2 linked regions of the Saccharomyces cerevisiae S288C genome follow. The protein of the gene in region 1 interacts with the protein of each later gene in a pairwise test. Each region holds a gene or a part of one and is shown on either strand. Other genes may lie near its edges.

Region 1 (4,364 bases):
GTCGAAATCGTCCAAACTGGTTAAAAATACCTCGCTACTGGGGATATGCGTTTCCGTTTTGTTGCCAAATAAATCTACGTGGTATTCCGCCTTCAAGTCATGCAGTGTCAAATTTTCATGAGTGGATATAGAATTGCCGTTTTTATCTTTAATTTGGAAGTTTTGAACGTACTCAGCAATGTCCGATGGCCAATATTTCTCTTCGCTATACAAGTGCACTAAGGGACAATGATTGATGACATAAGATGGAATCTCTCCAGGCGTATGCAGACTTCTCTGATCATCTGTCACATCTGTGGAATTTAGTATGGGCGGCAATTGGCCGTCGACTTTGAATCTGTTCCGTTGACCCATGGCCATGTCTCTTTTCATCAAAGGCTCTAACGGATCATAATCTTTCAATGGTGGAAGGACAAGCGCCCGTATGACGCTTAGATCTACTATTAAGAACCATAACAATATTCGCGCTAGTACGCAATGCATTCGCTAACTGAATTGAAGTTTGCTTTACCTATTGAGTACTTTATCAAAGCTGCCTTCTTTGTCATTGACGGTAGCTTCAAAAGAAAAGGAAAGTTCAATTGTTAGTTCTATTATAAAGAAGAGAAATTTCAATTTTACATATTCGGAACTTTCTCTTTTTTCATTCGGCTAGTACAACTACGTAGAGAGTATATCTCGCATCCGTCGTATGAGTAACGAGTTATGCTTTCCTTCAAAAGAAGGGTTCTTCCTTTTTCACTTTTTTCTTCTTCCTATTTACACGTAGGACAGCGAATACGGAGTCATGAAACCTTAATAATGCGCTGTTTTTTATTTTTTCTAAGTTTCAATTTGATTTTGTCGTTTCCGTCATAGCCATATAACTAAATTGAGATATAAACTATTTTTATTTTTCCGAGAACGGCCACTGCTTTGGGGCATGCATTATACGATTTCTCGAGAATCCGGTGAAAGCGTATACCCAAAAGAGCAACATAATTGACTGACCCACAATTTGGTTAGAGACATGCTATGCTGATCCTGCATATCTCAAACAGGCAATATGATAACATACATAAGCAATCTCGGCTACGCGGATTTTGTGTGGGTCTGAAAAAAAAAAAAAAAAAAAAAAAAAATAGCGCGGAGCCGGGTGAGAACGTTGGACGGGTAACATAAAAACAGAGCTCTTTATATAATCAAGCATTCCCTCCATACAAAATGTGTCTGCAGCCACGTGCAAAGTACGGTCGTCGTGTGCTAAAGACCAGTAAGTACAGTCTAGCGGGCCTCTGACTAGCTTCTCTGTGCTTGGCGAGGGGTTTACTGGAGCCCAATCGGACTAGCCGGGCTTCGTCACTGCGGCAATGTCTTCGCCCAACGGATCGGAACAGCTCACTGATTTCACCCAAACGGGAAAAAGGAAAAACAAAAACAAAACAGAACGGCGTAGTTTCCGGCAGCCATGATGATCCCTGATCCATAGAGCCATTTTTTTCATTTATTTCCTAATGCATTTTGTTCATATTCTGGATCTGCGTTAAACGCTGTAAAACTGGCTCGTTTCTTTTATATATCTTGCAATCATTCGCTGCTCAACCATCCTAGTCTCTTTTTACACGTACCCTTTTTCCACTTTTTCTTTTAGTTTATATATTCTTTTCGCCTAAGAACATTTGTCTTTGTAATCTACTTAACTTAGCAATTGTCAGCTGTCCTGTTACAACCTGTTCTCCAAAGTGAATACAATAAGCAGTATTTGCTCTTTTTCGTCTAGGTGCGTTGATCTAATCTTCTTTTTATTTTTCTTCTTCGTTCAGCCTTTTTTGTCCTCACCGGTAGCGTTCACCCTAATTCTTTAATTGTCATACCCATAATTATACTACAAATTTCGTGGTCTAGTTTTCTAATATAACTAATTACTTTCTCCCTTCTTACTTCATTATTTTAATTTTGCATTAGTACTCCTCTAGCCAAAGATAAACAGAAATGAACAGACAGGAATCCATAAATTCGTTTAATTCAGACGAAACATCTTCGTTGTCTGATGTAGAAAGTCAGCAGCCGCAACAATATATCCCTTCAGAGAGTGGATCTAAATCCAACATGGCTCCTAATCAACTGAAGTTGACCCGGACGGAAACCGTGAAGTCATTGCAGGACATGGGTGTGAGCTCCAAAGCCCCCGTTCCTGATGTTAATGCTCCTCAATCTAGCAAGAATAAGATTTTTCCTGAAGAATATACTTTAGAAACCCCTACAGGTTTAGTTCCTGTCGCCACTCTACATTCCATAGGTAGAACTTCTACTGCGATTTCCCGTACGAGAACTAGACAGATCGATGGCGCTTCTTCGCCTTCTTCTAATGAAGATGCTTTAGAAAGTGATAATAACGAAAAGGGTAAAGAAGGCGACTCTAGTGGTGCGAATGACGAAGCTCCAGATCTAGATCCGGAAATTGAATTCGTTACCTTTGTGACTGGCGATCCAGAAAACCCCCATAACTGGCCTGCATGGATCCGTTGGAGTTACACTGTCCTACTGTCAATCTTAGTTATTTGTGTCGCCTACGGGTCTGCTTGTATCAGTGGTGGGTTGGGAACCGTTGAAAAGAAATACCATGTAGGTATGGAAGCCGCTATTTTATCGGTTTCTTTAATGGTTATTGGGTTCTCGCTGGGTCCTTTGATTTGGTCTCCTGTTAGTGATCTTTACGGTAGAAGAGTTGCTTACTTTGTTTCTATGGGTCTTTATGTCATCTTCAATATCCCTTGCGCCTTAGCTCCAAATCTAGGTAGTCTTTTAGCTTGTAGATTTTTATGTGGTGTTTGGTCATCATCTGGTTTGTGTTTAGTTGGTGGGTCTATTGCCGATATGTTCCCAAGTGAAACAAGAGGTAAGGCTATTGCTTTCTTCGCTTTTGCTCCTTACGTTGGTCCCGTTGTTGGTCCACTAGTTAACGGTTTTATTTCCGTTTCTACCGGACGTATGGACCTGATTTTCTGGGTCAATATGGCCTTTGCAGGTGTTATGTGGATCATATCTTCTGCCATCCCAGAAACGTACGCTCCAGTTATCTTGAAGAGAAAGGCTGCTAGATTAAGAAAGGAAACTGGTAATCCCAAGATTATGACTGAGCAGGAAGCGCAAGGTGTCAGTATGGGTGAAATGATGAGGGCTTGTCTGTTGAGACCTTTGTACTTCTCTGTCACTGAACCTGTTCTAGTTGCTACTTGTTTCTACGTGTGTTTGATTTACTCTCTACTATATGCGTTCTTCTTTGCCTTCCCTGTCATTTTCGGTGAACTATATGGCTACAAAGACAACCTTGTGGGTTTGATGTTTATTCCTATTGTTATCGGTGCTCTTTGGGCGTTAGCCACAACTTTCTACTGTGAAAACAAGTATTTACAAATTGTCAAACAGCGTAAACCTACTCCTGAAGATCGTTTGCTAGGTGCTAAGATCGGTGCTCCATTTGCTGCAATTGCTTTATGGATCCTGGGTGCTACCGCTTATAAACATATTATTTGGGTTGGTCCAGCTTCAGCTGGTTTAGCTTTTGGTTTCGGTATGGTGTTGATTTATTATTCATTGAATAATTACATTATTGATTGCTACGTCCAATACGCATCCAGTGCTCTGGCTACAAAGGTTTTCTTAAGATCCGCCGGTGGTGCTGCCTTCCCCTTGTTTACCATTCAAATGTACCACAAATTGAATCTGCACTGGGGTTCTTGGTTGTTGGCTTTCATCTCCACTGCTATGATTGCTTTACCTTTTGCATTTTCTTACTGGGGCAAAGGTTTGAGACATAAGTTATCCAAGAAGGATTATTCCATAGATAGTATTGAATAAGAGTAACGATTTTACGAATCGAGCATAATAATGAAAAATTATAGTAGTAGTAATGATAAAAACATAAGCAAACATAAGCAAACATAAGCAAACATATCAAACATGCATTCAAACCATTATCCGACAGTAATGTACATATATTTTTACGTATTTTACATTCTTTCTCTATTGTTCTTTTATCTATTGCTATCCTAAACAAATATATTGATTGACCTTCAAACCGTGAGTAACTTTATTAATTTATATGTATAGAAAAAAAAAAAAATTGAATTAGAAATTTGAACTTCTCAAGTTCATTCTTCTTGTACCTATGCGATGACTTTATTTTCGGTTTTTACATTCCTCCTCATTTGACCGAGGAATACGAATTTGATTGACCCCCACTCACTAAACAAAGGGTCGGAATTCTTTTCCACTTTAAAACTTAGTAATAACAACAAAGTCAACAAAATAGTCCTATTGCAAAATTGCAGGTTCCTTAATTAATATTCTTAAATGATCATCAATAGGCGTATTTTGAAATC
Region 2 (4,017 bases), on another chromosome or scaffold:
TGGAAGACTGGTTAGTGCTTCACTCTGAACATAAAACTCACTAGCCACTGCAGAAGTAGGTTCAGGTTTCTTTTCAGATTCTTTCTCTGGTACTTCCACTTCCTTCTCACCCTTCTTCTCCTTCTTATGCTTTTTATGCTTTTTATCCTTCTTTTCCTTCTTGTCTTTCTTATCCTTTTTGTGTTTCTTACTCTTCTTTTTTTCAATTACCTCCTCATCTACAACCTTTCTCTTCTTGTCTGCGATTTCTTCCTTTGTCATTTTAATCCCCTATATATCAAACTGTTAATACTTATGCTTTCGTTAAAAGGCTGTAAAATGAAGTTAAGCTATATCTCTGAGCTGCTATATTGTTGCCTATCTATTATTAATATTTTTTTTTTATTTGCTTCTTATGCGATGAGGTGAAAAATTTTTCATCTTTTTCCCGCAAAAATATTTCAAGAAATTTGAATTACAGTCACATCGCTTTCAAGAGCGCAAAGCCTGAGGGATATTTAGGTTGAAATATCTTAGTCCCTCGTCTAAAATGGCTTAACAAACCATTAAAAAAAATTCACTTTTATTACTTCTATGCAAATAATATACTTAAAATAAATAACGGTCGACTGATCAACACTATAAATTCACTTCTTTCCCCACGGTACGTGTTCATTTTCGAGTTCAACGTCAGAGGCCGCAACGGAAAATTCTCGACTATCTTCAATGGTATCGAAGTTATTACTATATTCAGCCTGTTCGTTCTCAGATTCTTCTAAAGCGTGGAATTCCTTCTTACCCTTGTATTTCCAGTAAAGAATCGAATACGCAGTATAACCAACAATAACTACACAAACATAGTTCATGTTATCCTTTGTCACAGGTAAAACTGGTGGAAAGGAAAAAAAGACCACAGAAAAGACAGTCCAACCCAAAAGAACAATGTTTGAAAAAAATCCAAATTTTCCAAGCCAGAATGGACCATGAGCTATGTTACGCTTTTTAGCAAGTAAACATATAACCGGAATGATGTAGGATAACAATAAAAATGCAATACAACCTGTAATTAAGGACTGAAAAGCCGTACTGGAAGCCAAATAAAGTAGGCCAATGAGGGTTATCCAAGCGCATGACATTAAATGAGCGTTCAAAGGTACACCAGTGTGTGGGTTAACTTGCGACCATAAACGGGATAATGGAAGACCATTGTCCCTGGCAAATGACCAACATAACCTTGCCTGCCAAGTGTGACAAGCAATGACGCAACCAAAAGAGGTAAATAGAATCAAGCAACCCAGGAAAATCGCACCTGATTTATTACCCAATGCCTGATTATAAATGTCCAAGATTGGGGCGCCTGTTGTAGAAGACAAGACAGCGTCCAGATCTTGTATAGAGAAGAACATAGCGATAACATAACAAAAGGAAGTGACAAACCCAATGGCGACTGTTCCCATGATAGCAATGGGAATAACTCTTTCTGGTTTTTCAACTTCAAACGCCATATGGGTTGCACAGTCAAGGCACGAAAATGACCAAGCTGGGTTAATCAAACCGACAATAAAGGCGATACCGCCGTTCTTCCAACCTGTTTCATTATTAAATGTGGCAAAAACAAACTTTGCATCGTTGAACTTTCCATGAGAACATGCCAATACAGTAATTGTAATTGTGAAAAAGGATAGTAGGGAAATGTATAGAGAGGAAGATGAAATGATAGGTAAGGATTTACCGTAACAGTTGAAAAACATCAAGAACAAATGCAACAATTCAAAGCAAACGAATATATGCCATCTCTTTGGGATGAATTCAGGGTGCGTCAGAGCGTACATACCAACCACTTCGGTAGCAACGGATAACGTAGTTGAAGCACTTGTGAACACGGATCCTGCGTAAGCAAATGAACCGCACATGTAGGCCGCAAATCTTTTGTACTTAGGAGGGGCAAGCTTCAAAGACCACCAAAACTGACCACCGGCGTGCGGATATGCGGAAGATAATTCACCCAACGAGGTACCAATGCAAATAGAAATCAGGGCAACAATAATTATACCGTAAACAATCATCATGGGTCCACCAGAAGATATACCTGCAACCATCGATGTAGAAATACCGAACCAGGAATTAGTCAAACCGAATCCAACACCAAGAATTGACCACAACGAAAATGACTTTCTTAGATGAACTTCACCATCTGCTGCTACAGCACCCTTGCTATCCATATCATCCAATGGCTTTATTTCCTCCTCAACTCTTAAGTCTCTTTTGTGCATAGAAGCGTTCGAAGATTGATCCGGCTGCATATAGCCACCGGAAGCATTATCATTCCGAATACTCATCGTTCTTCAAAATACTAATTTCTGAGTAAATGAGCCAGTTAACACTGAAAGATATTCTTTCTATGGAAGTTCGAAGATATTATAATTTTTCTTTATGCAAGCTATATATGATAAGCACAGACACCTTCTTTCCAATTGTTGGTATTCAAGGCTTTTATAAATAAGTTGGCTAACTTTCGTTGAAATATCGGCAGTTTAGAGAAGTCAAGGCCGCTTATCTTCAGTTTTCATTTTTTTTTTTTTCGTTATATAGGTTCTGCGCATGTGAAAAAAAAGAGAAGAAAATAAAGCCAATTATAAGTCATTACTGACGAAATTATAAGATAAATTAGAGGTACAATATACAAACTAGTGAATAACAGAACTATATAGGACTTAGATAAAATAAGTAGTTATATGTAATGTGACTTCAACCAGTTTAGTTCATGGACTTAACCAATTTGTTGATGAATTCTTCACGGTTACCGAAAGAACCACCTTGGATAAAGTGCTTGAACTTTCTTGGGACACCCCAACCACCAGATGGGTTGGACAACTTGAATGGCCACAAAAAGTTGTTAGCTTGCTTGAAGTGTGGACCAACAGTGATGATTTCGTGAATCAAATCGTCAATGGACAAGATACCATACTTACCCAAGTTGGCTTCGATGATAGCATTGTCGGACAATGGAACTCTTTGCTTGTTGATCTTACCGAAACCTCTCTTGTAGACCAATTGTCTAATAGTAGAGTACGATGGGTAACCGTAAGCAACGTATGGTTCAATCAACTTCAATAGTTCCAAAGTAGCCTTGGTAACTTTGACGAATGTACCAGAGTTGATTCTTGTCAATCTTAGCAATTGTAGAACCTTTCTTGGCTTAGGTGGGATCTTGTTAATACCCTTGATTCTGACAACGAAGACCAACTTGTGTTGAGCTTCGACGTAGTAGGAACCAGCAGCCTTGGCATCACGCTTAGCTTGAATGATGTTTCTTTCAGCAGTTTCGTATTCCTTTTGGTAAGCGGCGTTTCTTTCCAAAATAATGGCTCTCTTTTCCTTGTTAGCCTAAATGAAAATAAAAAGTAAAAAACAGTAAATTGATGTTAGTAAAAAAATACCAGATGGAAAACACAGTATTTTATGCTAAAAATTGTTACACGGCATTATCACTCAATGGTTTTTCTGACACTGGAAACACGGCAATAATTGTAACCTTAATACCTTAACTCTCTGGTCTATTTTACTTTCTATTTCTTTTCTTATAATCAGTCGAAAGATGGTGATAAGTTACGACAGCATCGTCAATGACTAGTCGAATATGTATTGGGATACAATGGATTTTCATCATAAAATGAGAAAACAAACAGAACGTAACAAATAGTCCATTAGCCTAATGATACCACAGGTGTTGAGAATATTGCAACTGTTCGAATGATACTTATCAAAATTGGCGACGCACGTGAACTCACATATATCCCAGTAAGAAAATGTGTTGCAGCATAAAATATAAATGTAAGCAAAAGTTTAACATACAGCCTTACGAGCAGCTCTTTCAGCAGCGACTTGTTCAGCAGTCTTTTGTTGAGCCTTAGACTTCTTCAACTGAGATTCTGGGGTCAAGATTTTTCTGTAATAATACAAATAATAAAATATTTTTGTTAGCATAACCGAAAATAGAATGAATTAGGTTTGTATGACCATCAAGTAAAACTTTTT

What was found.
Region 2: the proteins of TPO3 (region 1) and HNM1 interact in a protein complementation assay, tested with the Saccharomyces cerevisiae proteins (2 studies listed by BioGRID).

Annotation. Positions count from the first base shown.
Region 1 is NC_001148.4:837,385-841,748, reverse strand, and holds TPO3 (spermine transporter), read left to right. Parts: upstream 1-1,971; coding exon 1,972-3,840; downstream 3,841-4,364. Other genes in the region: TDA6 (Tda6p), read right to left, coding at 1-483; NCA2 (Nca2p), read left to right, coding at 4,336-4,364. UniProt on the Saccharomyces cerevisiae protein: Cell membrane polyamine/proton antiporter, involved in the detoxification of excess polyamines in the cytoplasm. Recognizes spermine, but not spermidine.
Region 2 is NC_001139.9:361,599-365,615, forward strand, and holds HNM1 (Hnm1p), read right to left. Parts: upstream 2,319-4,017; coding exon 627-2,318; downstream 1-626. Other genes in the region: RNA-dependent ATPase DBP3, read right to left, coding at 1-261; 60S ribosomal protein uL30 RPL7A, read right to left, coding at 2,737-3,366, 3,835-3,928. UniProt on the Saccharomyces cerevisiae protein: Sole choline transporter in yeast. Also transports ethanolamine.